7 linked regions of the Macaca fascicularis genome follow. The protein of the gene in region 5 purifies or fractionates together with the protein of the main gene of each other region. This does not show direct contact. Links are inferred from orthologs where the notes say so. Each region holds a gene or a part of one and is shown on either strand. Other genes may lie near its edges. The genes, in order: IGF2BP3, MAVS, G3BP2, G3BP1, TRIM25, DDX5 and YBX1.

Evidence for each region.
Region 1: the proteins of TRIM25 (region 5) and IGF2BP3 purify together in Homo sapiens (affinity purification with western blotting; 3 studies listed by BioGRID, with this or other methods). This does not show direct contact. The link is inferred for Macaca fascicularis from reciprocal best matches to the Homo sapiens genes TRIM25 and IGF2BP3.
Region 2: the proteins of TRIM25 (region 5) and MAVS purify together in Homo sapiens (affinity purification with western blotting; 3 studies listed by BioGRID and IntAct, with this or other methods). This does not show direct contact. The link is inferred for Macaca fascicularis from reciprocal best matches to the Homo sapiens genes TRIM25 and MAVS.
Region 3: the proteins of TRIM25 (region 5) and G3BP2 purify together in Homo sapiens (affinity purification with mass spectrometry; 4 studies listed by BioGRID and IntAct, counting the BioPlex papers as one, with this or other methods). This does not show direct contact. The link is inferred for Macaca fascicularis from reciprocal best matches to the Homo sapiens genes TRIM25 and G3BP2.
Region 4: the proteins of TRIM25 (region 5) and G3BP1 purify together in Homo sapiens (affinity purification with mass spectrometry; 4 studies listed by BioGRID and IntAct, with this or other methods). This does not show direct contact. The link is inferred for Macaca fascicularis from reciprocal best matches to the Homo sapiens genes TRIM25 and G3BP1.
Region 6: the proteins of TRIM25 (region 5) and DDX5 purify together in Homo sapiens (affinity purification with western blotting; 3 studies listed by BioGRID, with this or other methods). This does not show direct contact. The link is inferred for Macaca fascicularis from reciprocal best matches to the Homo sapiens genes TRIM25 and DDX5.
Region 7: the proteins of TRIM25 (region 5) and YBX1 purify together in Homo sapiens (affinity purification with western blotting; 4 studies listed by BioGRID and IntAct, with this or other methods). This does not show direct contact. The link is inferred for Macaca fascicularis from reciprocal best matches to the Homo sapiens genes TRIM25 and YBX1.

What each region holds. Positions count from the first base shown.
Region 1 is NC_088377.1:106,924,444-106,927,943, forward strand, and holds part of IGF2BP3 (insulin-like growth factor 2 mRNA-binding protein 3), read left to right. Parts: intron 1-800; coding exon 801-1,082; intron 1,083-3,500. UniProt on the Homo sapiens protein: RNA-binding factor that may recruit target transcripts to cytoplasmic protein-RNA complexes (mRNPs). This transcript 'caging' into mRNPs allows mRNA transport and transient storage.
Region 2 is NC_088384.1:83,425,929-83,429,428, reverse strand, and holds part of MAVS (mitochondrial antiviral-signaling protein), read left to right. Parts: intron 1-748; coding exon 749-921; intron 922-1,671; coding exon 1,672-1,831; intron 1,832-2,021; exon of another isoform or gene 2,022-3,367; intron 3,368-3,500.
Region 3 is NC_088379.1:58,219,092-58,222,591, reverse strand, and holds part of G3BP2 (ras GTPase-activating protein-binding protein 2), read right to left. Parts: coding exon 3,465-3,500; intron 106-3,464; coding exon 24-105; intron 1-23.
Region 4 is NC_088380.1:158,622,483-158,626,691, reverse strand, and holds the start of G3BP1 (ras GTPase-activating protein-binding protein 1), read right to left. Parts: upstream 2,801-4,209; 5' UTR 2,722-2,800; intron 2,454-2,721; exon of another isoform or gene 2,290-2,453; intron 1-2,289. UniProt on the Homo sapiens protein: Protein involved in various processes, such as stress granule formation and innate immunity. Plays an essential role in stress granule formation.
Region 5 is NC_088390.1:49,808,731-49,812,894, reverse strand, and holds the start of TRIM25 (E3 ubiquitin/ISG15 ligase TRIM25), read right to left. Parts: upstream 2,801-4,164; 5' UTR 2,741-2,800; coding exon 2,144-2,740; intron 934-2,143; exon of another isoform or gene 873-933; intron 1-872.
Region 6 is NC_088390.1:71,096,259-71,100,495, reverse strand, and holds the start of DDX5 (probable ATP-dependent RNA helicase DDX5), read left to right. Parts: upstream 1-1,437; 5' UTR 1,438-1,566; exon of another isoform or gene 1,567-1,835; intron 1,836-2,086; 5' UTR 2,087-2,229; coding exon 2,230-2,273; intron 2,274-3,475; coding exon 3,476-3,641; intron 3,642-3,996; coding exon 3,997-4,093; intron 4,094-4,201; coding exon 4,202-4,237. Other genes in the region: CEP95 (centrosomal protein of 95 kDa), read right to left, coding at 1,208-1,226. UniProt on the Homo sapiens protein: Involved in the alternative regulation of pre-mRNA splicing; its RNA helicase activity is necessary for increasing tau exon 10 inclusion and occurs in a RBM4-dependent manner. Binds to the tau pre-mRNA in the stem-loop region downstream of exon 10.
Region 7 is NC_088375.1:192,186,736-192,190,713, forward strand, and holds the start of YBX1 (Y-box-binding protein 1), read right to left. Parts: upstream 2,801-3,978; 5' UTR 2,662-2,800; coding exon 1,862-2,661; intron 1,825-1,861; coding exon of another isoform or gene 1,761-1,824; intron 1-1,760. UniProt on the Homo sapiens protein: DNA- and RNA-binding protein involved in various processes, such as translational repression, RNA stabilization, mRNA splicing, DNA repair and transcription regulation.

The sequences.
Region 1 (3,500 bases), on a different chromosome or scaffold from region 5:
GTGAGCCAAGATGGCTCCACTATACTCCAGCCTGTGTGACAGAGCAAGACTCTGTCTCAAAAAAAAAAAAAAAAAACCAGATGAAAAAGAGAGAAACTCTCCCAAAATAGTGTGGTAGAGTGGGCAGATTAGAAAGTAATTCTCTTTCTTTGGTTTATCACCACCCTTGCCTCTTTGCCCCAAATCAGATCATTAACCACAAAGTCAGGGACCACTGTTTTCTCAGGGACTGGCTCATAATAGGTACTGAGTGTGACTGGTAGAATTTAATACTCAGGATAGTTTGTGAATAGTTTAGAGATATTTGTGCACTGCTTCTTAAAATGGTTTTAAATACTTCACATTTTAGAGGGTGAAGTAAAAGAGGTATGTATTTCTAATGTCTCTTCCACTGTGATTTGGAAACATTAGCCAAGGCAAGAAGCCCACTTGCCTTCTCTCTTGCTGCTTAGCTATTCTAAACTGTTAATAACCTTATGGGTTAAACTTAACCAAGAGTTTGACAAAATGTTTTTTGTTTTTCTATTTTTCACTAAGTAGATGGCACATAAGTTCCCTCTGGAAACTTGTGGCCTTTTTCCCCGCTGCGCCTGTCTCAAAGGAAAATGTGTGCAGGTGGTGGTGGTGCAGGGCGAGGAGGGGGAGGATTATGTGTGTTGCAGGTTTGCTGCTTGTGCTGGGGCTTTACTCAGAAGTTTATAGCTAGTAATGCTGAGTAGAAGAGATGGGTGTTGTTTTGCTAAAAGATGTATCGTATAGACTGATTCCTTTTCCCAAACCTGCCCCTTTTCAACTTTCAGAGCACTAGACAAACTGAATGGATTTCAGTTAGAGAATTTCACCTTGAAAGTAGCCTATATCCCTGATGAAATGGCCGCCCAGCAAAACCCCTTGCAGCAGCCCCGAGGTCGCCGGGGGCTTGGGCAGAGGGGCTCCTCAAGGCAGGGGTCTCCAGGATCTGTGTCCAAGCAGAAACCATGTGATTTGCCTCTGCGCCTGCTGGTTCCCACCCAATTTGTTGGAGCCATCATAGGAAAAGAAGGTGCCACCATTCGGAACATCACCAAACAGACCCAGTCTAAGTGAGTATGCTGAGTGTATGGTGGGTGTTCAGGAGAATTCCCCTTGGAATCTTAGCAGTGTGTCGTTCTGGTACTTGGTGCCCTTCTGAACGCAGCCATGAGGCCTCCTTGTACAGTACTTGGGAAATGTATAAAAATCTTGCAGTATCTTGGTGTTCATTTCATATAAATCTGGAGCTAATCCTGAGTCTCAAACGAAACCTCAGATTTTCACACATGAATGGAAAACAAATGATACCTAATCCTCTTCTGGTTGGGGAGGCTCTGGAAGACAGACAGGCAGCTTCTAGGTTGTTCTCTGTTCCACCCCTTACCCCCCACCTCCCCTCATTGCTTTTAGAAGTAATTTTCTGGGTCCAATCCGTTTTATTTGTGGCCTCAATACAGAGATAGTTTTTCAGTCTTGCCTTACTCGAATCACTCATCTTATTTATCCAAATTTTTCCTGTGATTAAGCCATGTGATTAGAATGGCTTTTTCTTCTGGATATTTTTTGATGTTTTTAATTGGTGGGCTTTAAGGGATTGGAAGATTCCCATCCAAATGTTGGAGCTAATTATCATGAGCAGAAAGCAGGAACTATTTGTTTTTATTTACTACTGTAGCCCCAGGGCCAAGGCCAGGGCCTTGCTGCATAGAAGGATCTTCTATTTGTCAAATGACTAAAATGACTACATGTGAATTATGCTTGAAGCCCTTCACGTGTGTCTAAGATACTTCTCAGTCCTCATGCATTGTATGTTGTTTTGCTTTAGAAACCATGCTGTTGTACAGTATGTGGATATTTTTTGACCCAGAGAAGCTTGGTGACAAGCTCTGCCCCCCATACCTAGCTCGGTAACGTGCTACAGGGCACATCTCTGGGCCTGTTACTAACGTTTTTCCTGAAGAACCTGTGAATGTGCTGGGAAAAAGAGGTTGTATCCAAAAATACCATCCTGTAAGCCTTGGGCCAGCTACAGAAATGACAAGATTATTTTGCCTTTTAAATTGAGAAAGGAGAATGATTTTTTTTAATGTGATCCGACGAAATAAGCTTAATCTTTCCCTAAAAGTTAGAACTACACTGCTGTGTATACTTTATGTGTTTGTTCCAGCAGGCCTAAGAGCACATGCGTATTCATCATAGGCACCATGCCTGCATTGGACTAGCTGACCCATTTCTCATGCAGAACCAAAAAGAACTGTACTAAGAGGTGGTCTACACCCACCTGCTCCCTGCAGTGACATCTGATCCTGCCTTCCCCTGCTTTGAAGCAGGAGATGTTGGGTGCTGGTTACCTGAATGCAAAATTAATGGCCCTGACCTCATCATGTAGGAGTGGGAAAGACAATTGGACCATAACCATAACCTAGTCAGTCGGCTTGGCTTTTATCTTAAAATTTAAGGGCTTCTTGCTTCCCTTGATCCACCGTTACCTGCAGAAATTCTTTATATGGCTTCCCTTCCTTGTCATGTAGCAGATTAGAATTGTTCCTTTTCGAGCTATTCATTTCTCTGTCAGATGAAAGAGCTGTGACTTAAATTGAACTGTTTGTTTTACTTAAGGCAGGAAAATGGGGATGGGGAAGGGAAGCAATCTTTGTTATATCCGAGGATTCATTTGCAGAGCTCTGCCAGTGGATTTAATTAACTCTTGACATTGAAATTAGTCATTATCAGAACCTCTGTTTCTGGAATGGTCTCAGAGGGCCACTTTAACCTCCAAAGCCACATTCCCTTCTCTCAGGGGATCGGAGTTTAGTAATCCAGGCACAGTGAAAGGGTGGAAATAAACTGCAAAGAAGGATGCTAATGTGTTACTGGAAGACACGCATCACTGAAAGTGACTGGGGATTGAAACAGCAGCTGGGAAGATGACTCCTAAGATTGGGACTGTTACCTAAGACACTATTTTTTTTATTAGTTATTTTTAGGTAGCCCTTAATTTGTTTCATGCCCTTATTTTTAGTTTTCTTTCACTCTTGAGGTGTAAAGCTTTAGATTTCAACCAAACATTTAGGAAAATGAAAGCCAAACCTTGATTTTATTGGCACGATCAAGTGGTCACTCTCACGGCCATGAGTTATTTAGGTCTTTAAGTGTTTGAGTGGCCAGAGGAACTCAACAAACACTTAATTTTCCCAAAAACACACATTTTTGAGTAGCTGATTTTCTTTCTTGTACTTTTTAAATAACAGCAGACATATTTAATTCAAAACATATAAATATGTAAATTAAAAAGTTACCATTCGTCTCACCCGGGTAGCCATTGGTAAGTTGGGGATGTATCTCTACAGGATTTGTTGCCTGTATCTACTAACATGTGTGACTTTAAAAAAGAAATCATGTCATGATATGAATTGCATTATTTCACTTAAGGACTTTGTACTATGTTGGTACCTGTAGTTTTACCACATTTTCAAAAACATCTGTAT
Region 2 (3,500 bases), on a different chromosome or scaffold from region 5:
ATGGGGTTTCTCCATGTTGGTCAGGCTGGTCTCGAACTCCCGACCTCAGGTGATCCGCCAACCTTGACCTCCCAAAGTGCTGGGATTACAGGCATGAGCCACCGCATCTGGTTTTTTTTTTTTTTCTCCCAAGACGGAGTCTTGCTCTGTTGCCCAGGCTGGAGTGCAGTGGTGCGATCTCAGCTCACTGCAACCTCCGCCTCCCAGGTTCAAGCAATTCTCCTGCCTCAGCCTCCCGAGTAGCTGGGATTACAGATGCATGCCACCATGCCTTGCTAATTTTTGTATTTTTAGTAGAGATGGGGTTTCACTATATTGGCCAGGCTGGTCTTGAACTCCTGACCTCCTAATCCACCTGCCTTGGCCTCCCCAAATCCTGGGATTACAGGCATGAGCCACTATGCCCAGCTCCTGATTCCTTTTTTTTTTTGAGTCGGAGTCTCACTCTGTCGCCCAGGCTGGAGTGTAGTGGTGCGATCTGGGCTCACTGCAAGCTCCGCCTCCCGGGTTCATGCCATTCTCCTGCCTCAGCCTGAGTAGCTGGGACTGCAGGTGCCCGCCACCACACCTGGCTAATAATTTTGTATTTTTAGTAGAGACAGGGTTTCACCATGTTAGCCAGGATGGTCTCGATCTCCTGACCTTGTGATCCGCCCGCCTTGGCCTCCCAAAGTGCTGGGATTACAGGCATGAGCCACTATGCCTAGCCCAGATTCCTTCTTGATATCACTACATCTTTGTCCTCCAGGGACCTCGGACCGTCCCCCAGACCCACTGGAGCCACCGTCACTTCCTGCTGAGGGGCCAGGGCCTCCCACACCTGCTGCGACCCACAGTATCCCCTACAACGGCTACAGAGAGAAGGAGCCAAGTTACCCCATGCCTGTCCAGGAGACCCAGGCGCCAGACTCCCCAGGAGAGGTCTGTCCTCACAGGACACCTTGAGCCACCTGCTTTTGTGTTCCTATCTGCCTACTTCTGCCCACTGAGCCTTCCAGAAACCCTCTCCTGTCCCCTATAATTCACGCCTAATCTCTGCTCAGAATCCCAGGGCTTCCTTAGTGGCAATCTGCCCCAGACCAGCTTCCAGACTGCTGACCACGTCTTTACCCTGTGGCAGCCCTAATCCTCTGTCACCAACCAGCTGGGAGAGCACAGTTTTTATTTTATTTCATTTTATCTTTTTTGAGACAGCGTCTCATTCTGTCGCCCAGGCGGGAGTGCAGTGGAGCGATCTTGGCTTACTGCTACCTCTGCCTCCTGGGTTCAGGTCATTCTCCTGCCTCAGCCTCCGGAGTAGCTGGGATTACAGGCATCCACCACCATGCCCAGCTAATTTTTGTAGTTTTTGTAGAGATGGCATTCTGCCATGTCAGCCAGACTGGTCTCGAACTCCTGACCTCAGGTGATCTGCCCACCTTTGCCTCCCAAAGTGCTGGGATTAGAGGCGTAAGCCACTGCGCCCGGCGATGCTGTGTTTTCTGTGAGGTAGATGCAAGGACACCTGTGGACAGAGGGTCTGGGAATTACCAGAACCCAGAAAAGGGCTCCCTTGGCTCCTGTGCTCCATGGTGTGGGCTGAGACCTATAGGAGATGCCCCAAGAGCACAAGCTGCCCTTTGAAAGCTCTTGGGAGAGGCAACTGCCTTAATCATATTTTCCCTCTTGCAGAGTTCAGAGCAAGCCCCACAGACACTCAACCCCAGAGTCATCCCAAGGAGTCCAGATGGTGGCCCCCTGGAGCCCTCCTCTGACCTGGCAGCCCTCAGCCCTCTGACCTCCAGCGGGCATCAGGAGCAGGACACAGAACTGGGCAGTACCCACACAGCAGGTATGCATGGAATCTGGAATTATAGGGTCCTTCTGATCTCTCAAGTGAAGGTGAGAATTAAGAGTTGCCCCTCTGGCTTCCTTGAACAGGAGACAAGGTGGGAATAAAGGGAGTTCAACCCAGGAAGCAAACCAGTTCCTTAGCGGGTGTATCAGTTAGCATTTGCTGTGTAACAAATACAGTTTTCCAATTTTGTTTTTTTTCAGTAGCTTAAAATATAGCCATTTATTTAGCATATGATCCTGTGGGTCAGGCATTTGGGCTACCTACCTGGGCACTTCTTCTGGTCTTGACTGAATTTCCTCTCAAGTACTCACTGATATATACATAAGTTCTGCCTCTGGCTGTTGGCCTTGCACCTTGGTTCTCTTCTATGTGGTCTCTCATCCTCCAGCACACAAACCCATCATGGCAGCTGGGCAGAGTTCCCAGAGAGAGAGGGCTCAAAACTGGCACAGTGTCCCCCATGCCCCATTCTGTAGGCAAAAGCAAGTGATAAGGCCAGCCTAGATTCAAGGAGTAGGGAAATAGACTCCCTCCCTAGAGGGGAGGACTGACAGGCACAGTGCAAAGAGGCTAGGTGGAGGTAAGTGAGATAAGTCGGGCCATTTCTGCCCTCTGCCAAAGGGACTGTGGGGATCAGCCAGGGCCTGGAGGGCGGTGGGCAAGGGACAGTGCAGGGCTGCATCAGCTGTTGGCAGGGGAGCCTTTAGGCACTGCCTTACTGCAGAGATCTCCAGTTCCCAGTGAATCATGAAAACTTCTCAGTTCCCAGACTTCTTCATCATCCAGTGGCCTGGACCCAACTCCAGACCTCAGTGCTCCCCCTCAGAAATATATAGTTGTCCATCTGGACCTCTCAGGCTAGCATGTCTCTTTCCTACTTCCCAAACTGTTCCACATGATGCTGGTGCCCAGTCAGCCCTCAGTGCCCTGGGACAGCCACAAGACAATGAGCAGTTAAAGGCTGGGAGACGTCATCTTAGTACTTTTGTCATCCCCAAACTGCTCCAAGCACCTGTCTATGCTTTGTAGTGTCATCTGGCCATGGGATGCCTTTCAGGAGTTGCTGTAGACCATGCAGGCAGAGGGCACTTAGGTTTCAGTATGTTTGTAGACACAGGTCCCATGAGATTCTGTGGTATTAGATTGCCGTGGGGGAGGTGTACATCAGAATCACCCTGACTTTTGCCAGCTGTGGGGCTTGGCATGTGCATTCCGAGTTCCGTGGAGAGTCCTGCTGCAACTGCCTTTATAGACCATCACTACCTGCTATCCCCTGCTTCCCCGACCCAGGTCAGGCAGCCTCCCAGGGGTGGCTTTGTCCCTGTTGCCTCTCTTCCCAAGCCTCTGGGATGGCCAGCCCTCTTGGCTGGTATGAGCCATTCTGCATGCGCCGTCCTGCCACCCCTCACCCTGATCCACGACTGCTTCCACTCGTGGTGGTCGGAGAGGGACAGCAATGGGGGAAGTGTTCAGGATTCCATGAGGCTAAGGTCAAGGTAGAAAAAGTGGACACAGGAGAGGGGAGGTTTCCTAGGTGGGAGAGGAAAAAGCGGAGAGAATAATTAATAATGATCTTCAAGTTCCTAGGTACCATTTCACTGTGTGCCAGGACAGACCTGGGGCTACAGGTCAAGGACTGAGGGCAGCTGTTGGGCTTTCAGGC
Region 3 (3,500 bases), on a different chromosome or scaffold from region 5:
CTATATATGAAATTGATACTTACATTTTGGCCATAAACAGCTTCCTGGGGCTTTCCACTAGCATCTACTCCACCATGAACATAGGAAGAATTCCTGCCATAAAACCTGCAAAACCATAATTAATGATTAACACTGAATTGTCAAGAGAAGCCTAAGAGGCAGTAGAATTCTGGTGTCATAGACTAGGTTCCGGATCCGGCTCTGTCACTAGTTGTGTAATCTTGGACAGGTAAATTACTTAAGGTCTTTAAGTTCAGTTTCCTTGGTTATAAAACAGGAACAGGAACTACTACACAGGGTCGTTGTAAGGATTAAATGAGTAATGCACATAGAATGCTCTTAGTTTATCTGGCACAGTACGTAGACAATCATTAGATACTCATATCTAATTCTTATCACATATGTTTTTTGTTAAGTGGAAAAATCGGATATTTTTGACTATTTAGTACATTCTAAATACAGATGCTATAGTAACCGACCCTGTTTTTCTCTTCAGATACAAAGATTCAGCTATCTAGATTTGTTTGGGAATCACAGTTTAATACTATATTCAGATCTCCAAATGATTACTAATTCTAAAGGCTTAAACTGTTTAGATTTAAAATAACTGAAACAATTCAGAGATAAAGTCTAAAATCCAAAATTACTTCAGCATCTAATTTTTTAATATTTTTGTACTGTTCCTAAGTATGTGTAAATTAGTCTTTTATTGGCATTATCCAAAGCAATTAGAATTAGAATCTTTCTAAATTAAGCTCAAAGACGTGAAGTTAATTTTTTCACAAAGAAAACGCAACTCCTATAGTAATAAAACATTTAAGAGCTTCCTTTATGCTAAGCAATGTTTTTAGTGTATTATGTGTACTGACTGACTTAATTTTCTTAACAATCTCATGAAGTACTATTATCTAAATAAACAAGCTGCGGTTCAGAAGAGGTTAAATTAACTCCCCTAAGGTAATATACCTATCAAGTGGGGCACCCAAGATAAGAACCTAGTCTAACTTGAGAGTCCATGCTTTTAGCCACTACTCTTACTATTAAATTTACACTCTCTTCTCTCATGTACTACTGGCATCTTTCCTATAGAACAGTTTGGCTGTGTGTGTATCTGTGTGTATACACATGAAAAGTCTCAGAATGATCATATCTCTTTGATGCATTAATTCTTCCAGGAAAGTATCTAAGAAAATAACTAACTAGCAACGTACACAAATAATGCATGTTTCAGGATATGTATTAGTGTTGCTTATCACAAGTAGAAAATTATAACAACTTGAATTTTCATTAAGAAAGAAATTGGTCAAATAAGCTAGGTCTAAAACAAGTCTGTTACTGTTTAAACATGATGGTGTAGGGCCTTATTGTTTTAATTTTTTTTTTTTTTGGTCACTAAAGAAAACAAAAAACCCTGTATCATGAAAAGACCAAATTTCAGATATCAAAGGGCCCTATTAATTCTATATCTTCCCCCAAACTCCCTCACATACACTGTCATCAAAAACATCTTTACTTTTACAATTAGAGAAAGACACAGTTATTCATTTTACATTTATTTGCGGGGAAGATACATGTTAGTTACACTTTATATATACTACATTATAATAAAGTGGTTGGGGACACTACTCAGAACTGGGCCTGAATATTGGCTATGGTTAGCTTGTTTACTTATTGAGTGATCCTAGATGAATTACTAACCTCAACTGTCTAATAGATAAAGAGCTAATAAAAGTAACTTCACTTTAAGACTGTCATAAGGAGGCTGGGCGCGGTGGCTCATGCCTGTAATCCCAGCACGTTGGGAGGCTGAGACGGGCGGATCACGAGGTCAGGAGATCGAGACCATCCCGGTTAACACAGTGAAATCCCGTCTCTACTAAAAATATTAAAAAAATTAGCCGGGCGTGGTGGCCGGTGCCTGTAGTCCCAGCTACTCGGGAGGCTGAGGCAGGAGAATGGCGTGAACCCAGGAGGCGGAGCTTGCAGTGAGCTGAGATCAAGCCACTGCACTCCAGCCTGGATGACAGAGCGAGACTCCGTCTCAAAAAAAAAAAAAAAAGACTGTCATAAGGAATACATGAGATAATATACATATGTAAAGTAATTAGAGTCTAGCAAACAGTAAATATAAAAATGCCTTCTTGAATAAAACAGATTACATGTATGTTCAAAAGAGCAAGACAAATTGCTACTGAAATGCTCATTAAGATGACCTACAGATAAAGGAATTTAAGTCTTTTAAACAGCCTTTCTCACGGGAAGTGGTAATATATTTATCCTTAACCCATTTGGCCAGTGTGTTCTGCAATACTTACAAAGTGTAACTCTTGTAAGAGTTTCACCTATCTTCTACTTGCTAAGATACATCAAGAACAAAAATTAAATACTACCCACAATATAAATCAATTTCACTTTGATCTCTGGAAAAAACAAGCCTACAGATGTCTACCTCTTGTTAAAACAGTAAATAAGGTTATTGCTGCTGTTTTACAAAGGAATACTATTTTACAGATTAGAAGAAATACAAATTTTCACAGTATAATCATTTAACTGATCCATTCCCCGACACTGTTTGGGATAACTTTAAAAAAAAAGATTTAAGCTGCTGATTTCAAATTGCATATTGGAACCCATTAGTTGGTCAAACGGTCAAACCCAAGATATGGTTTTTTTTTTTTTTTTTTGAGATGAAGCCTCACTCTGTCACCCAGGCTGGAGTGCAGTGGCACAATCTCCGCTCTCTGCAGCTTCCACCTCCCAGGTTCAAGCAATTCTCCCGACTCAGCCTCCTGAGTAGCTAGAACTACAGGCGCCTGCCACCACGCCCAGCTAACTTTCGTATTTTCAGTAGAGACGGGGCTTCACCATGTTGGCCAGGCTGGTCTCAAACTCCTGACCTCAAGTGATCCACCTGCCTCAGCCTCCCAAAGTGTTGGGATTGCATGTGTGAGGCGCTGCGTCCAGTCTCGTGTAAACTTTATATAGTTCTCCACCACCCACCCCAAAAGGCTTTTTTTGTTTTTTTGGTTTTTTTAATGAAATAAAGGTTGGGCTTGGTGGCTCATGCCTGTAATCCCAGTGCTTTGGGAAGGCAAGCTGCAAGCTGGGAGGATCGCTTGAGGCCAAGAGTTTGACGCCACAGAGGGCTATAATCACATCACTGCACTCCAGCCTGAGTGACAGAGCAAGACCATGACTCTAAAAGTAAAATACTAGAGTACATGTAAGTATGTGCATATATATATATGAATGTGTTATGTACTAGAATATGACATAAAGTGTTTTTGTTACTGTGAGTTGCAGTCAAAAACACTTTCTGCCATCAAATGAATAAAATATTGAATACAGTTTAGACATGTTTACAAACATACTGTCAGATAATGAGACAGGAAATGCAAAATATATGTAGTAATATCCAAGAAAAAAAATAGATAACAATACCAAATTATTTGTTTAAAATTTACCTGTGTAAATATTCTGGAGCTTTATTCAGCAAAGTA
Region 4 (4,209 bases), on a different chromosome or scaffold from region 5:
TTACTGGGGGGGCGGACGAGGCTTCCTTTCTTTTTCTTTTTTTTTTTTTTTGTGACCTACCTACTTCCACAATTATTCATTCTTCTTCCTAAAGTCAGTAATAGTTTTGTCCAAGGAAGCCAAAGCACAATATAATTAAACAAACAACATACAATGCATATTTGAATTCTGAAACAAAAAAAATCAATTTGCAAACTGTTAAAAGACCAAGTGGGTACTTTTATCAGACTGACAAAAATAAAAAATTGTAAAATTGGCTTTAGTCACAAATGTAAGCTTTATGTTAAATTTTGTCTTTTAACACTAACCCCATCAGTCCTAAGGACGATATAAAATTCACAAACTTTTACAAAAACTTAAAACTGCCTTCTGCCGTTCACTTTCTATGCAAAATACTAGAACGAGTGGGGAAAAAAAAGAAAAACCATAAGTTACAAAAGAAAAACTGCTCTAAGTAGGTCACAAACCAACATAACCAAAATCTCCTAATGTTCCCTGGTGGACTGTCAGCTGAGAACAGCAAACTGAGTTAAACAAAGAACTGTCTACTTTTCTACCTGTAAGAGGTACAAAAGCTAGACTTTTCTACCGGTAAGCAGCTCCAATGGTAGGGATGTAGGGCGGCCGTGCCAAGCCTTACATTACCACAATTTGCTTCAACTCACTAGTTCCTGATAAAGGAATGCACAAGTGATCAGCTGGAGCACCGGTCTGTGAAATAATCACGTAATTTGCATATTCCTGCCCAAGTGATAACCATTTGCCTGAGGCCAAGAACTGTATTTTTTTTTTTAATATTTTAAGTAGAAACTAACAAAATTTTCCCTCAATAATGCGTAAGGTAATTTCATTCTATTTTGCCTCAAGCTGTAATAAAATTAGCTGGACTCAAGCTTTAACAGTTTAAATGCAGATCATTCTAGTGTTTTTCCATTTGACAACTTAAATTGCTCGTCTTTAAGTCTAAGTTAAAATGCTAATTCAATAGTTAACCAGTCCGTAAGGGCAGGTAACCGGAATTGCTACACCAGGAAAGTTCCAAGTAAATGTTACTTGGAACATTGTTACATTATAACGCATAACAGCTTCTCTAGAAAGAGTTTCTAGAACATGTTTATAGAAACGTTTATGTTTATAGAAGCGTTTCTATAACATAGGAAGATTTATTTCACTAAGCCAAGGAGTATGCTGGCTTTTAAATAACCTAAAATATGGTAACTCTACTAGAAAAATATAATCTCAAGTGTCTGAAGAAAAGCATCCTGTTTCTGCATATACACAGGAACCCAGCAGAGTAAATGCTAAATAAACGGAGTGTGTACACAAACTTTCATCCACTGATCTCGACTGTCACAGTTGTTTTTTCCAAGACATCTCCAACACCAGTAATTCGGCCAGGGTGACACGCGCCACAGAGATCAAATGTATATCGTAACTGGGCGCCATCCTTTCCATTCCAATTCCGTATTTTAACCCACAGATGCTAGTGAGATCTGAAACTCGTTGCTTTGCACCTCACTTCCTTCAACTATAAAGTTAATCTTCTCAAGGTCTTTCTCCAAAAGCCTCCTCCAATTAAAAAAAAAAATAGAGAGAAAAAAAAATTCAACGTCTAAAACCGGAGCCTAACTTCCCGCTGGCGGGAATTTCCCATCACCAATCTGAGTTTCAAACCCGATGAGGAACACAGTCGATGTTCTTTTGCACTTACTCATCATTTTCCCTACTTTTTTCCAGAAGTTACTGTGGCGGCACATCTACCCACGGCCTGTACGAATACACGTAGAAAAGCAGCCCAAACCCTTTTCCTTTGTCACATTCCCACTACCAACCCTTGTCTCCCTGGAAGCCCAGAACTAGCCCAAGTACAAATGCCGCTGCAGCCTGCTCGGCAGGTGGCCTTTTGAGGCTGATGCTGTCCCGAGGGACAAGTGCTCTGGGGGCAAAGAATAAAACAGGCTTGGGAAGCGGGGGACTCGGAGTCAGAGGGACCGGCGTCAGCAAATCCCCGCCCTTCCCGTGCGTGCCTGTGACCCCGCTCTCCAGACCCTTGCCTTGGGCCGCTACGGAAGGAGGACAGCCGTACCCACCTCGCCGGTTCACTGCGACAATCAAATCAAAGGCAGAAAAGCGGCTCCGCACAGTGCCGGGCACATAGCGAGAGCGTGGAAAGAACACTGGTTGTTACTATCACTCCGTGCACTCGCTGCTCCCTTTCCTCCCTGCAAAACTGAAGGCACTTCTGCGGCGCGCGGACCACAAGACTCTAGACTTTAGTGCTGCACCCACCCTTAAACGAAAGCTTCCTTCTGGTCCGAACCGACTGGATCTCTTGGCCAGGGGACGAAAAGACTCCGCAGGCGCGTGGCGGAGTGGGTGGCGGGCGGGAAACGCTGGGCGCAGAGCCCCTAGTCCTCGAGGCCGCCCTGGGGCCCGGGCGGCGGCCGCGACTCACTCCCGCCCCGCGTGGCCGTTGAACGCAGCACGCGCACGCGGCGGACACGGCCACGCGCCCCAGTCGGGAGGGGAGGGGGAGCGGGGAGCCGCCGCGCTCCCGTCCGTCCGCCGCGCGCGCCTGCGGCCGTTGGGGCTGGGGTGGGGGTGGGGGACGCGCCTGGCGCGGCCGCCGCGAGCGCCACTCAGACTTCTCCCTCTCACAATTGCCGCGGCTCAGCTTAGTCCTCTGGCTGCCCTGCCCCGCCCACACCCCTGCATACCTACCTGATTGAGCTGGAGAGGAACTAGCTCTGCTCCACAGCACCAAGGATAACAGAAACCCCTCACGCAACTGCGTCCGCACACACGCGTGCTCCGCCGCCGGTCTATATAGCTGCCACTCACCCTAACTTGTTGCGGCCAGGTCGGGCGACGGGATGACCAATCCCGACCGCGTCCTCCGGGCTCTTCGAACAGCAATTGGGCACTTACTGGGGATGAAGGCGTGGCTCTTGATTGGCTTTGACTCATGCCTATGAGACTGTGAGGATCTCGTTTCCCTAGTAACAGATCGGCACTAAGAGAGACCAATAACCGAAAAGTACAATAGAAAGGCGGGTGAGCAGTTCTTTGACTGATACCCAGAGTAGCCAATAAATATGCGGAGCTGCTCTTATTCGTTAACACGTCTTCCCCTGGGCGGAGATCCGTTTTCCATGCAGGAGCGGTTGCGCCACAAGGTGGGGCCCGTGTACTTTGGGGAAGTAAACCCCTAGCAACTAGGAGGCGGGCGCCCGAGAGGCCAAGACAGCCTGTGGCCAATCGCAATGCCGGAAGGAGTTGATAGACACGGAGGTTACGCTGCTCGGAAGAGACCGAGCCCCAGGGCGACCGTGCCCTCTGGGCGGTTGTGAGGTTATGCAGGCTGCGGCTTCTGCTCTCTTTCCTTTCTTTCTCTGACTTGCTGGGTCCCGGCTCTGAGGCGTGCACACCGCCTTTTCTGCACAGTTTGGTACCTGTGGGGAACTAAGTGGCAAAGTTTCCCGGGTGGTTTTGTTTTTATTACAACTTTTTTTTTTTTACATACGACGGCCAAGGGCCTTGCTGCCCTCACCATTACTCAGCACTGCTGTGGGGCACGGGAAGGAAAGTCGCTCCTGCGCCGCCTACGGGCTCCCGCCGGAAGGTAGCCAGTGGAAGTGCCTGGGAGCGCGCCCTTCCGCCAGGCGCTTCCGGGCGGGTGCTGCGAGGCGGCCGCGGGCGTGTGGCGAGGCTCCCTTTGTGGCGGCTGAGGCACGGTGGTCCGCGCGTGCTCCAGTGTAGTTTGGGCCCTCGCACCACGTCTCGAGCCGCGGCACTATTGTTCAGCCTCCAATTGCCGCGGATGGGGGCTTATTCTCGTCGCTACGCCTTTAAAGGGCAACTCATCCCCTCCTCCTGGCGTCTCAGGCACTGGCGGGGCTATAACTCATGGCTGGGCGGCCGTGCGTGGGTCGCCGTGGGCATTTTCTGTGGAAATAGCTTTGGTTCCCAGCCGTCAGGCACAGACACGACCCGGTTTGTTTTCGTTCGGGCATGTGACCAGGCGGGAGGGTCTCCCGCGGAGTGTCGCTGAAAATTTTGGAAATGAAGCACATGGAGCACCTATGTAGGGGTAGAGAGGCCGAGCTGAAAGGAGCACGGGCGCCGGCCTCAACCTGTGGGGAGCCGGGCCCGCTCGCCTGCCTGCGCCTGGCTAACCCGAGCCTGGAACTCGGGAAGCCCAGGAGCGAA
Region 5 (4,164 bases):
GTACTCAAGCCTGGGTGACAGAGTGAAAACCTGTCTCTAAAAGAAAAGATTAAAAAATATATATATATGGGCTGGGCATGGTGGCTCACACTTATAATCCCAGCACTTTGGGAGGCCAAGGTGGGTGGATCACAAGGTCAGGACTTTGAGACCAGCCTGGCCAATATGATGAAACCCAGTCTGTACTAAAAATATAAAAATTAGCTGGGCATGGTGGCACACGCCTGTAGTCCCAGCTACTCAGGAGGTTGAGGCAGGAGAATCGCTTGAACCAGGAGGCGGAGGTTGCAGTGAGCTGAGACCGCACCACTGCACTCCAGCCTGGCAACAGAGCAAGACTCCGTCTCAAAAAAAAAAAATCTGATTTTACAGCCAGGCCGGGTGGTAGCACACCTGTAGTCCCAGCTACTCGGGAGGCTAAGATGGGAGGAGCATTGAGGCCAGGAGTTCAAGACCAGCCAAGGCAACATAGTGAGATCCTGTCTTTACACAAGAATTTTTTATAACTTAGCCAGGTGTGGTGGCTCACATTTGTAGTACTACCTACTCAGGAGGCTGAGGCAAGAGGATCACCTGAGCCCAGGAGTTGGAGATTACAGTGAGCTATGATCACCCCACTGTACTCCAGCCTGGGTGACAAAGTAAGATCCTGTCTCTAAAAGAAGGAAAAAAAAAAAGCCAAGTTTATAGCCAGGCATGGTGGCACACCTGTAGTCCCAGCTACTCAGGAGGCTGAGATGGGAGGATCCCTTGAGGCCGGAAGTTCAAGAACAGCCTAGGCAACATAGCAAGACCCTGTCTCTAAAAGGAAAAAAAAAAAAAAGCCAAGCTTATATGCTACACAAAGCTGGATGCAGACCCCCAACTCTGACCTTGCTCAGGCTACTGTCTCCTTTGACAACACGAAGACGGGTCTTGTTCTCCCTGAAGGTGCTGTGAGAATGAAATGAAATCAGGCCATGCTTTGGATCTTAGGCTGATGTAACAAAAGGTGGTTTGATTTCAGCCTCTGCTTTGAGTCCACAAGGGAAAGGTATGATCCCCAGACAACCTAAAAACATTGCAGACCTGAAAGGCCCTTAGGAATCCACCTAGTCCCACAGCCTCACTATACTGGTGAGGACCCAGGTCCAGGGGCCAAACCCTGTGCTCAAAGTCACACGGCCAGGACAGAGGACACTATGGTGCAAGAGTGTTGGCTCTCCCTGTGGTTCTGATCCAGTGATTACTGGGAGGCTGCCCACCCTCCCTCTTAGGCCTCTAATAACAACCCTTCCTGATCACACGAACTCTCCGGCCCACCAAAGGCTTTTGCTTACATGACCTCAAGCTTCCTGGGCTGTTTGGTGCTCCAGACTCTACGGACCTGGATACGAGGCTGGTCCATGGGGAGAAATGCAAACTATGAAATCGAACCAACCTGGGCCGCAATGCTTGCGTGGCCATTTACTGCATTAGGTCAGGCTAAGTTCATTTCTCTGAACCTCAGTATCCTCAAGAGTAAAATGAAACTAAATCATATCCACCTCCTGGGTGCCACCAGGACTTCGTGAAGGAACAGAGGTTACCTCCAAGGTTCATAGTTGACATTCAAAACCCTCTACTAAACACCATCAGATGGTGGGGTGCAGTGGCTCACGCCTTTAATCCTAGCGCTTTAGGAGGTAGAGGTGGGCAGATCGCTTGAGCTCAGGAATTTGAGACCAGCCTGGGCAACATGGCGAAACCTCATCTCTACAAAAAGGTAAAAAAATTAGCGAGTCTGTGGTCCCAGCTACTCTTGAGGCTGAGGTAGGAGGATCCCTTAAGTCCGGGAAGTCAAGGCTGCAGTGAGCTGTGATTCTGCCACTGCACTCCAGCTTGGGTGAGAGGGACGACACCCTGTCTCAAAAAAAATAAAAATAAACACCATCAGACAAAGACAGGCTTATGGCAAGCAACCTAACCTGTCTTCATGGATGATGGCAGAGGACTATATAATCTCCCAGCCCCTTTCTACTCTGACATTGGAGATGCCCCGGCCTCGAATTCAGGCCCATCTCCCCCAGGGCGTCCAGAGGGTGGCAGAGAGGCCCCCGGTGGCCCCTCTGCACCACCCAGCAGGCCCAGGCTGCCCTCTGCGCCCTCCCGGGCCATTCGTTACCTCCAGGTTGGCGCTGGCCTGGCTCAGGGACGCGGGAGAGCAGGCCTTATGCTCTACCAGGCAGATGTGGCAGATGCACTCGCCGTGCTCGGGGCAGAAAAACTCTCGCAGCCGGTTGTGCTGGGAACATTTGCGGCGCAACAGGTCGCGAACTGGAGACTGCAGCGGATGGTCCTGGAAGGCGGGGCTGTCGAAGTGCGGCTGCAGGTGCTCCTGACAGAAGGAGGCCATGCACACCAAGCATGTCTTCACGGCGGCCTCCTTCAGGCAGTGGTCGCAAGCCACCTGGGCACCCGGGCTGGGTGCAGAGGCGCGGGCGGGCGGCGTCCAGCCGTCGGCGGGTGGCTCCCGGGCCAGCTCGGCCTGCAGGAACTGCTCCACCACGTTGCACAGCACAGTGTTCTTGTGCAGCTGCGGTCGCGCCTGGTAAACGGCGCGGCACTGCGGGCACAAGTATGGGGCGCCCTGGACGGCCCACGTCTCGTTCAGGCACGAACCGCAGAAGTTGTGGCCGCACGGAGTGGTGACCGGCTCCTTGAAGGGCTCCAGGCAGATGGAGCACGACAGCTCCTCGGCCAGGGGGCACAGCTGTGCCATGATGCTCCCAGGGGTCGAGACGCGACTACTGCAACCGCGCTCCGAGGCTGCCGAGGAAACGAAACCTAGCCCGGGAAGGGCAGTCCCTGCAGCCGTCAGGAAGTCACGTGGGGCGCGGAGGGGCGGGCGGCGAGGACTGGTCGGGCCTCGCGAGGTACCCTCGAGAGCCTGCGGGCACCGAAGTGCCAGTTGCCCACGAAGTGGCGAAGGTCGGCCGCGCTGCGAGCCTCGAGAGCTCCCGCGGGCTGGGCGCGGGACGCTGGGCTCGGCCTTAGCCCCCGGGGTTTAGAGCATCCTCGCGACCACCCGGAGGCTTCTGGGGGCCACTCTGCGGATGAGGAAGCTGACGACTGGGTGCAGAACCCCGGACCCCCAGATTCAGAGCCCAGGTCCAGTCGCGCTTCCGCACAAACTTGCGCCCGGAGCAAGTCCCCTCCTTCCCAGCACTCATCTGAGACCAGAGGTGTTCCCATAACTATGGGGCAAGCTTTAAAAAAAGCAAAAAAAAAAAAAAAAAAAAAAAAGGAAACCTGTAGGAACTGTTAAACCACAATGCTTTTTTCTTCTTCTTTTTTTAATCCTTCCTCTTTCCTCGTCCCGGATTGGGACATGCGAACATACAGTCCCTGAAGACTGGAGCCCATAGTCACACACTCAGATTTAAACCTGGTGATTTATTTCCATTCTACTGATATATCATGCTTTTATAAAAATTCCCATTTCTACTTTCCTGGGATTTGGAGTTACCCAGTTTAACAAAGGCTTTCTCTCTCCTTCTCTCTCTCTCTCTCTCTTTCTCTCTCTCTCTCTCTCTCTCTCTCTCTCTCACACACACACACACACACACATAATATTGGAACTTAAATATTTTTCTCAAAGTTACTGATTTAAAGTTACTTCCTTTAATACTTTCTTTTGCTCTGTTTTCCCTCCTCTGGCTTGACTGCAGGACGTATGGGTGGACTGGAGAGTAGAAGTGTTCAAAAGAGGTGGGGATTGGCCGGTCCCAGTGGCTGATGACTGTAATCCCAGCACTTTGGGAGGCCGAGGCGGGTGGATCACGAGGTCAAGAGATCGAGACCATGCTGACGAAAACTGTGAAACCCTGTCCCTACTAAAAATACAAAAAAATTAGCCGGGCGTGGTGGCGAACGCCGGTAGTCCCAGCTATCGGGGAGGCTGAAGCAGGAGAATGCAATGAACCCGGGGGATGCAGCTTGCAGTGAGTGGAGATGGCGCCACTGCGCTCCAGCCTGGGCAACAGAGCGAGTCTCGTCTCAAAAAAAAAAAAAAAAAAAAATGCCGGGGGGGCTGGTGGCAAAGAGAAAGATGGTGTTTTGGAAGGAATTAGTTGGAGTTTGCTTTGGGGACAGAGTGGGTAGCAAAATGAGGAAAAGATAAATGTCTTAGTTTACCTTGTAATA
Region 6 (4,237 bases), about 21 Mb from region 5:
GTTACTGTTGCAGCCTAAAATCTTAAGTTACTTATATAAGCCTTACGTGGGTGTTTTTAGTTAAAACATGTTTACAAGTAAACAGGAATATTATGTCATAAGCAACAGTTTAATAATAATCTGAAGTTACTAGACAGTCATTAATAAAATATGTTGCTTCAAACTCCCAACAGTATTGGTCATGTGTTTACCCAATTATCTTGTGCAAGTCAGGATTTCTCTGGTGCCCAAATAAGTGGTGATTAAACTTAGGCTGTTAAGAACTGGCATAATGACAACATCAACACTAATGCATTTCTTAGTTTTTCTTTTTTATTATATTGATCTACATGAAACAAAATATTGGAAGTACATGAAGCTCAGAATTATCAATACTGTTGACGTTTCCTGCATACCACATTCTCCTCTCCCCTAGATATTGCTGGGATTTGCGAAGTTTAACAGTTTCTCTACCAAAAGCAACTTAGCTTAAAATACTTGTTCCTTGAAATGCCTGACGATTGGTAGGAAAGCACTGGCAATCGATATTAGAAACAAACATCTCCACTATGTTCTGGACACATGACGTTCTGGAAACGAATGAGAGTGTATCTTCCAGGCACATAATCCCCCCTCTCCAAGCCCATTTCTCACAACTGGCCAAACCATGACAACTGGTTTGTACGCAGTCCTAGTGAAAAGGATGAAAGCGTCCTAGACAACCAAATTAATTCGCTCTTCAAAAGCGGTGCTAGACAAAGCCCATGACTCTAGAGGGCACTGAAGAGAAAAAAGCACCACTATTCTTCTGTGGCAGGGGCATGAATAAACCTTAAGAGTGCCGTTCCTTTAAAGACCACTACAAAAGGAGGTACGACCTCAGGGCCCATAGTGCAAGGGAGGAGGGCACATGGACAGCGGCTAGACGCCCCACAGAAAGACAAGTCCGAGGACGACCCTTCTGACTGCTCTTTTTGCAGCCAGGACCCGAGCGTCCTACCGGCCTCGCCCCAGTGCCTCTCTCCCACCTCATACTGCTGTTCCACGGCCTCAAAGCGAAGAGGGGGTGAAGCTGAGAGACCCTATCCAGAGAACCCGCCACCGCGACGCAGCGTCTGACAGTAACGAGCCCCGCCGACACCCCAGACCCAGTCCGGGCTAGCCCGAGGCCTCCCTGAAGGTGGACAGTTTCAGTAAACACACACCGCGACCCCAGGGAAACACTCACCAGCCTCCGAGCGGGCCATGTCTCGGAAGCAGGTCGCCGCCGGACTCCGACGCTGCCAGACCGGCGACGGTGTCCTGCAAGGACCGAACGCAGAGCAGACGCTGGGGGGCGGGCGCACGAACTAAAGCGCGGGGAAGGAGGCGTGAAAGAGGGAGGGACGTTAAAAGAACTTCTCGCCGCTGATTGGTCATCAGAGGAGCACTTCCTTTCACAGCACGTGCCACGGAAGCGGTTTGGGAAGTTTAGAGACCATTCTCCGCCGGCCAAAACCCGTCACAGGATTGTCAGACCCGTGGGTCGGACGGTCCAAGTTAGCCGGCAGCTGGGGGCGGGTCCCGGGTGCTGGCAGCGCACTTCCGGTGAGCTATTTCGTTATGTATCCCTCCGCCGACGTCAACGGGGAAGTAGTGCGGCCCCCTGTCACGGTGGGCGGTGGGGGGGTAACGTCACGTGACAACGCCAGGCCCCCGCCTTCCCTCTCATTTGGTTACAGGCGTGAGGGCTCTTTGGAGACGTAAACACCTCCGAGTGGGGAGGGTGGGCGGGCTTGGGCTGGCTGTTTTATCGTCTGGCTGGGCTTGGGAAAGGGCAGGGTGGCTTTCTTGAGGTGTGGAAAGACGAGAAGAAGGTGAGGTCAAGAGAGTGGAGAATGAGGCATTTCAATGGTGGGTGGGCCCTGACCTGAGAGAGCGGCACGGGGTGGGGTGAAAGCGCGGCGATCGCGGAACGCCGGCGGGCGTTGCGGCCTCTGCGCGAGGGGCGGGGCGATTAGGTCATAGAGCGGCTCCCAGCGTGCCTTGCGGCGTAGGAGGAGGTCCAGACTATAAAAGCGGCTGCCGGAAAGCGGCCGGCACCTCATTCATTTCCACCGGTCTCTAGGTGTGCAGCTTTGGCTGGTGTCATCGCCGTCACTCCTCCGCTGCCGCCCCCGCAAGGCTTCGCCGTCGCCGAAGCCATTTCCAGCGACTCGTCGCACCCTTTTCTATCTACTTCGTTCCCCGCCAACCGCAACCATTGACGCTATGTCGGGTTATTCGAGTGACCGAGACCGCGGCCGGGATCGAGGGTGAGTGTGGGAGCCGAGTTGTCAGGGCTGGCGGGTGGGGGATGGGAGGGCGGGTCAGGGTGGCGGCGGGCCGGGGCTTTGCGGCTTGGACTCGGCCTTTCCGGGCTATCTTGGGGCCTCCTTTCCCGAAGGCTTGCGCCATTTTGATATTCACGTAACAGTGAGTGGGAGAGATTTGACGGGATAGTGTCTTCATCCTCGCTTTTTGTGTGGGGGTCGGGGAGCCGTCGGGGCGGCTGCCATTTGGTAGCTGTTGAGGGAATTCAGAGGGAGCGCATTGTTCGGATGAAAGCGCGACGCTTCGAGGCAGACGAAGGAACAGCTGTTAGGTGCGGCCTTTCGGGAGGTGTTTTTGGGGTGGTCGGGCATTCTGTGGGAGCGAAGGGACCACCTCCAAAGCCACTGGTGCTGTGGGGGTAGGAGGGCGGCCGGCATCAGCCATGTGGCTGAGTCGCGGGTATAAAATGCCGGCCTTGGACATGGCGGCGGCGCCTTTGTTACTCCGCCCGGCGGAGGAGCTCAAAATGGCAGCGTCGAGAAAATGTGGCGCAGAGAGAAATGCGAGACAAAGGGGGAAGCGCCGCCCCAGCGGGAACGCCGCCCGGCCGGCTCCGCCCGGGCCGGGACTCCTCCCCCGGTAGTCGCCGGCTCCTCCTTTTCTTTTTTCCTGCGTTATATAATTTTAATTCGTTGATCCGGAGCTCTACCGCGGCGTCCCCCCAGCTCGGTTTGCTAGCAGAAGTGTTTCTAAACCGTTGTTTCGTTTTCGTTGTCTGTGCTGTCTAGATTGTTGACATCAAAGCTCTTTGGCTTGAAAACGGCCATATGAGTAACATCGTTGTGATGCTCTTCGGTTCATGTAGGCTTGTTATCACTGATAATGAATTGCTAGACTGGTGAGAAAGATAATAGTAACCACAAGAAGTGGTGTGTAATACTAAATTCTGGCATCTGGGTGACAAGTTTTCGATATAGTAAATCCCAGGCTGTTTACGTGGCCTAAGTTGTGTGTACTTGGGACTACGGGAAACGTTAACTGTGGCTGTTGAGAGAGAGATTATCACTAAGGACAGTGCTAGGTTTACCTCTCGAAGTCGGCTTTCAGTGATCTTTAGCTTGTGCCAAGGGATGGTAAACAAATCTGTCCAGAAACCTAGGTGTAGCCATTTGAAAATGTAAATAACTTTTTTTCTTCATTCCAGGTTTGGTGCACCTCGATTTGGAGGAAGTAGGGCGGGGCCCTTATCTGGAAAGAAGTTTGGAAACCCTGGGGAGAAACTAGTTAAAAAGAAGTGGAATCTTGATGAGCTGCCCAAGTTTGAGAAGAATTTCTATCAAGAGCACCCTGATTTGGCTAGGCGGACAGCAGTGAGTAAATTCATGTGGCTTCATCAGGCTGTAACTCAATGGAGTCTAGTAAATGAAATTCTGACAGGTGTTTTGCAAATAACTCAATTTTGGTAGAGTTACGTTTTCTGACTTCATAATTGGGAAAGGTGTGACTCACTTTTGCAAATAGGTGGCTTTGGGAATTTTTTTTTTTAGATTGAGTATAGCAGAATAAACGGTTTTTTTGTCATATAGGGTTTTCATACGCGGTTCCAGATTAAAATGAAGCTACTTTAAACTAATTACTAAATTATGAAGTTACGGACTTGCCAATTACGTATTTAGTTAGGGGTGGTTGTCATGAGCTTTAAGACTGTTATAATTTGTTTTGCAGCAAGAGGTGGAAACATACAGAAGAAGCAAGGAAATTACAGTTAGAGGTCACAACTGCCCGAAGCCAGTTCTAAATTTTTATGAAGCTAATTTCCCTGGTGAGTGCTACTTTTCAGTTCTACCCTACCCCTGTGTTTTTGTTTTCACCTACCTCCTCCTTTCCTTGGCATCACTAATTTTTGTTAAATATCTGTCACTAATTATAGCAAATGTCATGGATGTTATTGCAAGACAGAATTTCA
Region 7 (3,978 bases), on a different chromosome or scaffold from region 5:
TAGTATCTCATGGACTAAATACTTATAAAGTGTAAAGATAATACTCTTATTTTGGACAAAACTATTGATTTCAAAAAATGTCATAACCTATGCCCACTTAAAAAAAAAATGCAGCGAAACAAGGCACATGCTAAAACTTCTTAAACACATACAAAAACTGCGATCTATCTGCTGAAAAGGATGCATATTTGCACACCAGAGTTACCATTACATTGGGTCAAGGGTTAAAAGCAGTGATTTTGAAGGTATGGCCCGAAGACCATTATCATTCCTGTTAAAAATGTACCCAGACCTAATGAATCCAAAGCTCAGAAGAAATACACCACTTAAATCACACCCTTCCAACGTAAGCACACTTAAATTTGAAAACCACTGGTTTAAGAGTTAGACTAGTAAGGACAGTCAGTAAGACACAAATACAAACTAAAACACTAACAAATTCAGACAGATCAGTTAAAAAGCTATCAGTTTACCAATCATATATAAGCATTCCCTTTCTTCTTTGCTAGTAAGCTTTTATCAAAAAATTAATGAAAACCGTAGTTTCAGCCAGCCAGGAAGGCAAACAGTATAGAACAAGTTGGAAAATCCTAAGATTCTGGAAGAAACAAAATGTTTTCCCACAATTGCAAAAGTAGAGAATAGATCATCAAATGCTTATCTCTTACTTTAAGTATTTCCACAATACTCTATGATTGATTAATGAACAGTTTTTCATCAGGCCATGAATCTGTCCTTAAGCTTGATTTTGCCCATTTGTTGTCCATTCCACGTTGTTCTTTTAATCATCTGCTTAGGTCTTCTACAGTAAGTAAGCAAGAGAATGCTGAGATGGCACTTAAGTACCATACCTGTGAGGCCAAGATTGCTACTGGCATACCCAGTGCTCTACACCCATGTAACTGCACTACTAGCCTTGGCAGCCATCTTGAAAATGATGCCCGGCTCACAAGGAAGCCCATGGAATACTGTGCGTCTACTGCACGTTACCACCACCACTGCCACAAACAACCCGAAGGGTAAGTCCTAAAGACGTATCTGCAGCTTTACCTTCAAACAGGAAGAACAATGTCAAGTTACTAGTGACTATGGCCACTCTAATAAGCTACAGCCAGGGATCTAGCGGAAATTGACTTCATCAGCATGATTTTAGGACAAGGAAGAATGAAATAAGAACTGAAGGAAAAAAACCATTTTCTTGCAGATATATTATTTATGAACAAATAAAAACAGTTCTCTCTGGTCAAAGCTGTGCTAATACAGAATTTATCTCAGGTATTAAAATGAAACGTGAAACAAAGGCAATACAACCTCTCGGTAAAGATGACAAAACCTCATATACTTGACACGTCAAATCCTCTTACCCCCAAAATGTTAACAAGGCGTAAATATCCGATGTCAGTGGATCACATTCTCAAATACCGAGTTCAATAAAGTAGAAAAGGATGACAAGAATAAAAATCTACTGGACCGTACTTTCCCGTTTACCCTGTTAAGGAATGGCTCATTCACTCCGCTTGCCTTTTAAATTGCTTTGTGCTGTGACGAAGCCCTTGAAGTTAGCTTCAAATTAATATTTAGCTGCAAAACAAAGGCATTCTCTAAACCCAAATCCCTCCAGTCGTCAAGGAAAACAAACAGACAAAAAATCACATTAATACACCAGAGGTAGTAAACGCCTTTCAGAAGAGGACTGTGGATTGGCACAGCAAGAAGCAAGCAAGAAGGTAGGATGGAGGCTTCAGAGCCCAGCAGCTCACCTGTTGATGAAACCATATCCGTTCCTTACATTGAACCATTTTACTGTTCCCAAAACCTTCGTTGCTGGAAAAGAAAACAAAGCAAAACAAGCCACGATTACCAGCTATCCTTTTCCAAACCCGTCTCGCTTCGGCATCCGGTCCCTCGCACGCTGCCCGCCGCGGCCACCTGACAGCCCTTTCTCTCCACCGCCTGGGTGCGGGTCCGCGCCGGGGCCACGCCGCCGCCGCCGCACACGTGGGTGAGTCTGAAGCGCGGGGCGCTCCCGGGCAGGCCCGGGGCGCGGGCCCAGGATGGGTGTGTTCGCAGGCCGCGGACGGAGAGCACGTGAGGGAAGGGGAAGCAGCTCCGGACTGCGTAGGCGGTGCGCCGCGCCCTCCGAGCACACGCGGAAGGGAGCTGGGTGGGGGAGACGCGAACAACGGCGTGCGGGCCCGAGCGCACGAGGCCAGTCGGCGGGGAGGGGACCCCGTCGCACACGCGGTCGGCGGCGCGCGGCCGCAGGAGGAGGGGCGCGCGGCCGCGCGGGGTCCACAGGGGGCGCGGGAGGCAGTGTGCGCGCGCCTGCCGGGCGGGCCCCCGCAAGAGCGAGTGGGGGGGCGGGGGGAGGGGCGGCCGCGCGCCGCGGAGTCGGTCCCCACCGGCCGCGCGCCCGCCGGCTCGCCCAGCCCCGGCTAACGGTTCCGCTGCCAGGCTGCCCGAAGGCCCCACCCCCGTCCCTGTCCGGTCCTCACCGATGACCTTCTTGTCCCCGCCGGCAGGCGCCGCCGATGTGAGGCCGCCCGGGCCACCGCTCCCTGCGCCGCTGCCCGTAGTGCCGGGCTTGGTGTCGGCGGCGCTGAGGGCGGGGGCGGCGGGGGGGGCGGCGGGCGGCTGCTGGGTCTCGGCCTCGCTGCTCATGGTTGCGGTGATGGTGACTGGGGCCGGCTGCGGCAGCTGCGGCTCCTCCCGGGGTGTGATGGTAACTAGGCCGGCGGCGGCGGTGGGGCTGCTCAGGGCTCTCTGGGGTCCGCTCTCCGCTCCCGCTACCGATCGAACTAGCGAGAATGGCGGGACAGGCGGGATAAGCCCTACGATCGACCCGCCCTAGGCGTTGTTCACTGGCCGGTGGTACTGTCAATCTGCCCACCTGACCTCAGTCCCTGGCTTCTATTGACTAACATTTTATCAGTCCTCCACTCTCATTGGCTGTCTGGCGGCTAATTCAGCCGACCTACAACCGTTCCTGCCTCCGCCGGCCGCCATAGAGACCGGAACTAGAATTAGAGTAGTCGGCCACGAAAACCATAGAGTACCTGAGAGGACGGGCAGAGGGAACGTGACTTCCACGAGGCAGTCGCCGGGCTGGCGGGCCCGACGTTCAGGGTTGTGTCTCGGCTGAAAAAAAGGCACGCCCGAACGCTGGGCAGGGATTACCCGGCCGGACCCGGGATTGGAAGGGGGCTCGACGACGCCTTAGCTCCCCGTGAAGAAAAGGCTTCCCTCCCTCCCTGCACCAAATACGGTCCCTGTGATCTGAGAACATTACGGCGGGCATAGAGTCGTCTTTTCTTTAATGGCCGTGTACTCGCGGCACAGCCGAGGGTTTCTGGAATTGCCTTAAACGTATGCGTTTGAAGAGCGTACGCTTTTGTCGGAGCAGTCACCTTGGAGGGACCACGCAGGCTCTGGCAGCCCGGGCTCAGCATGTTTAGGGCGAGGGTGTGCTCCGTGGGGACCTGCCTTCTGATCCGTTTTACCAGGCATATATTTTTAAAAATGTGTCTTCCTTTTCAAGTGTTAACGTGTTTTTCTACTGGCCACAAATCAGATTTAATTCAACTCACATTTATTGAACAAGCTAGCGTCCTATGTTTTTTTTCATTTAATTCGTACAACAGCCATGTGATAGAGGAATTACTATCCACGTTTCACAAACGATAAAATTGAGGCTGCCACCTGATGTTACTGAAGTCCTCCACCCACCTTCTTTCGTTCTTTTTTAAGCGTCTACTATCGGCTGGGGATGGAATAGTTCGCGAGTCAGTTTCTGCCTTCTGATGGAGGCAGAAATTTAAACAGCCAACACGGTAAATACTCCAGAGCTGCAGAAGCACGAAGTATTTTGGGAGTAGAAGCAGGGAGAAGGTGGAGGGCTGACTTTCTGCGCACAGGGTACAGGCGAGAAGGGGTGGGATCTCGGGAAATGCAGTCAAGTAGTTCAATAAGACTCGAATG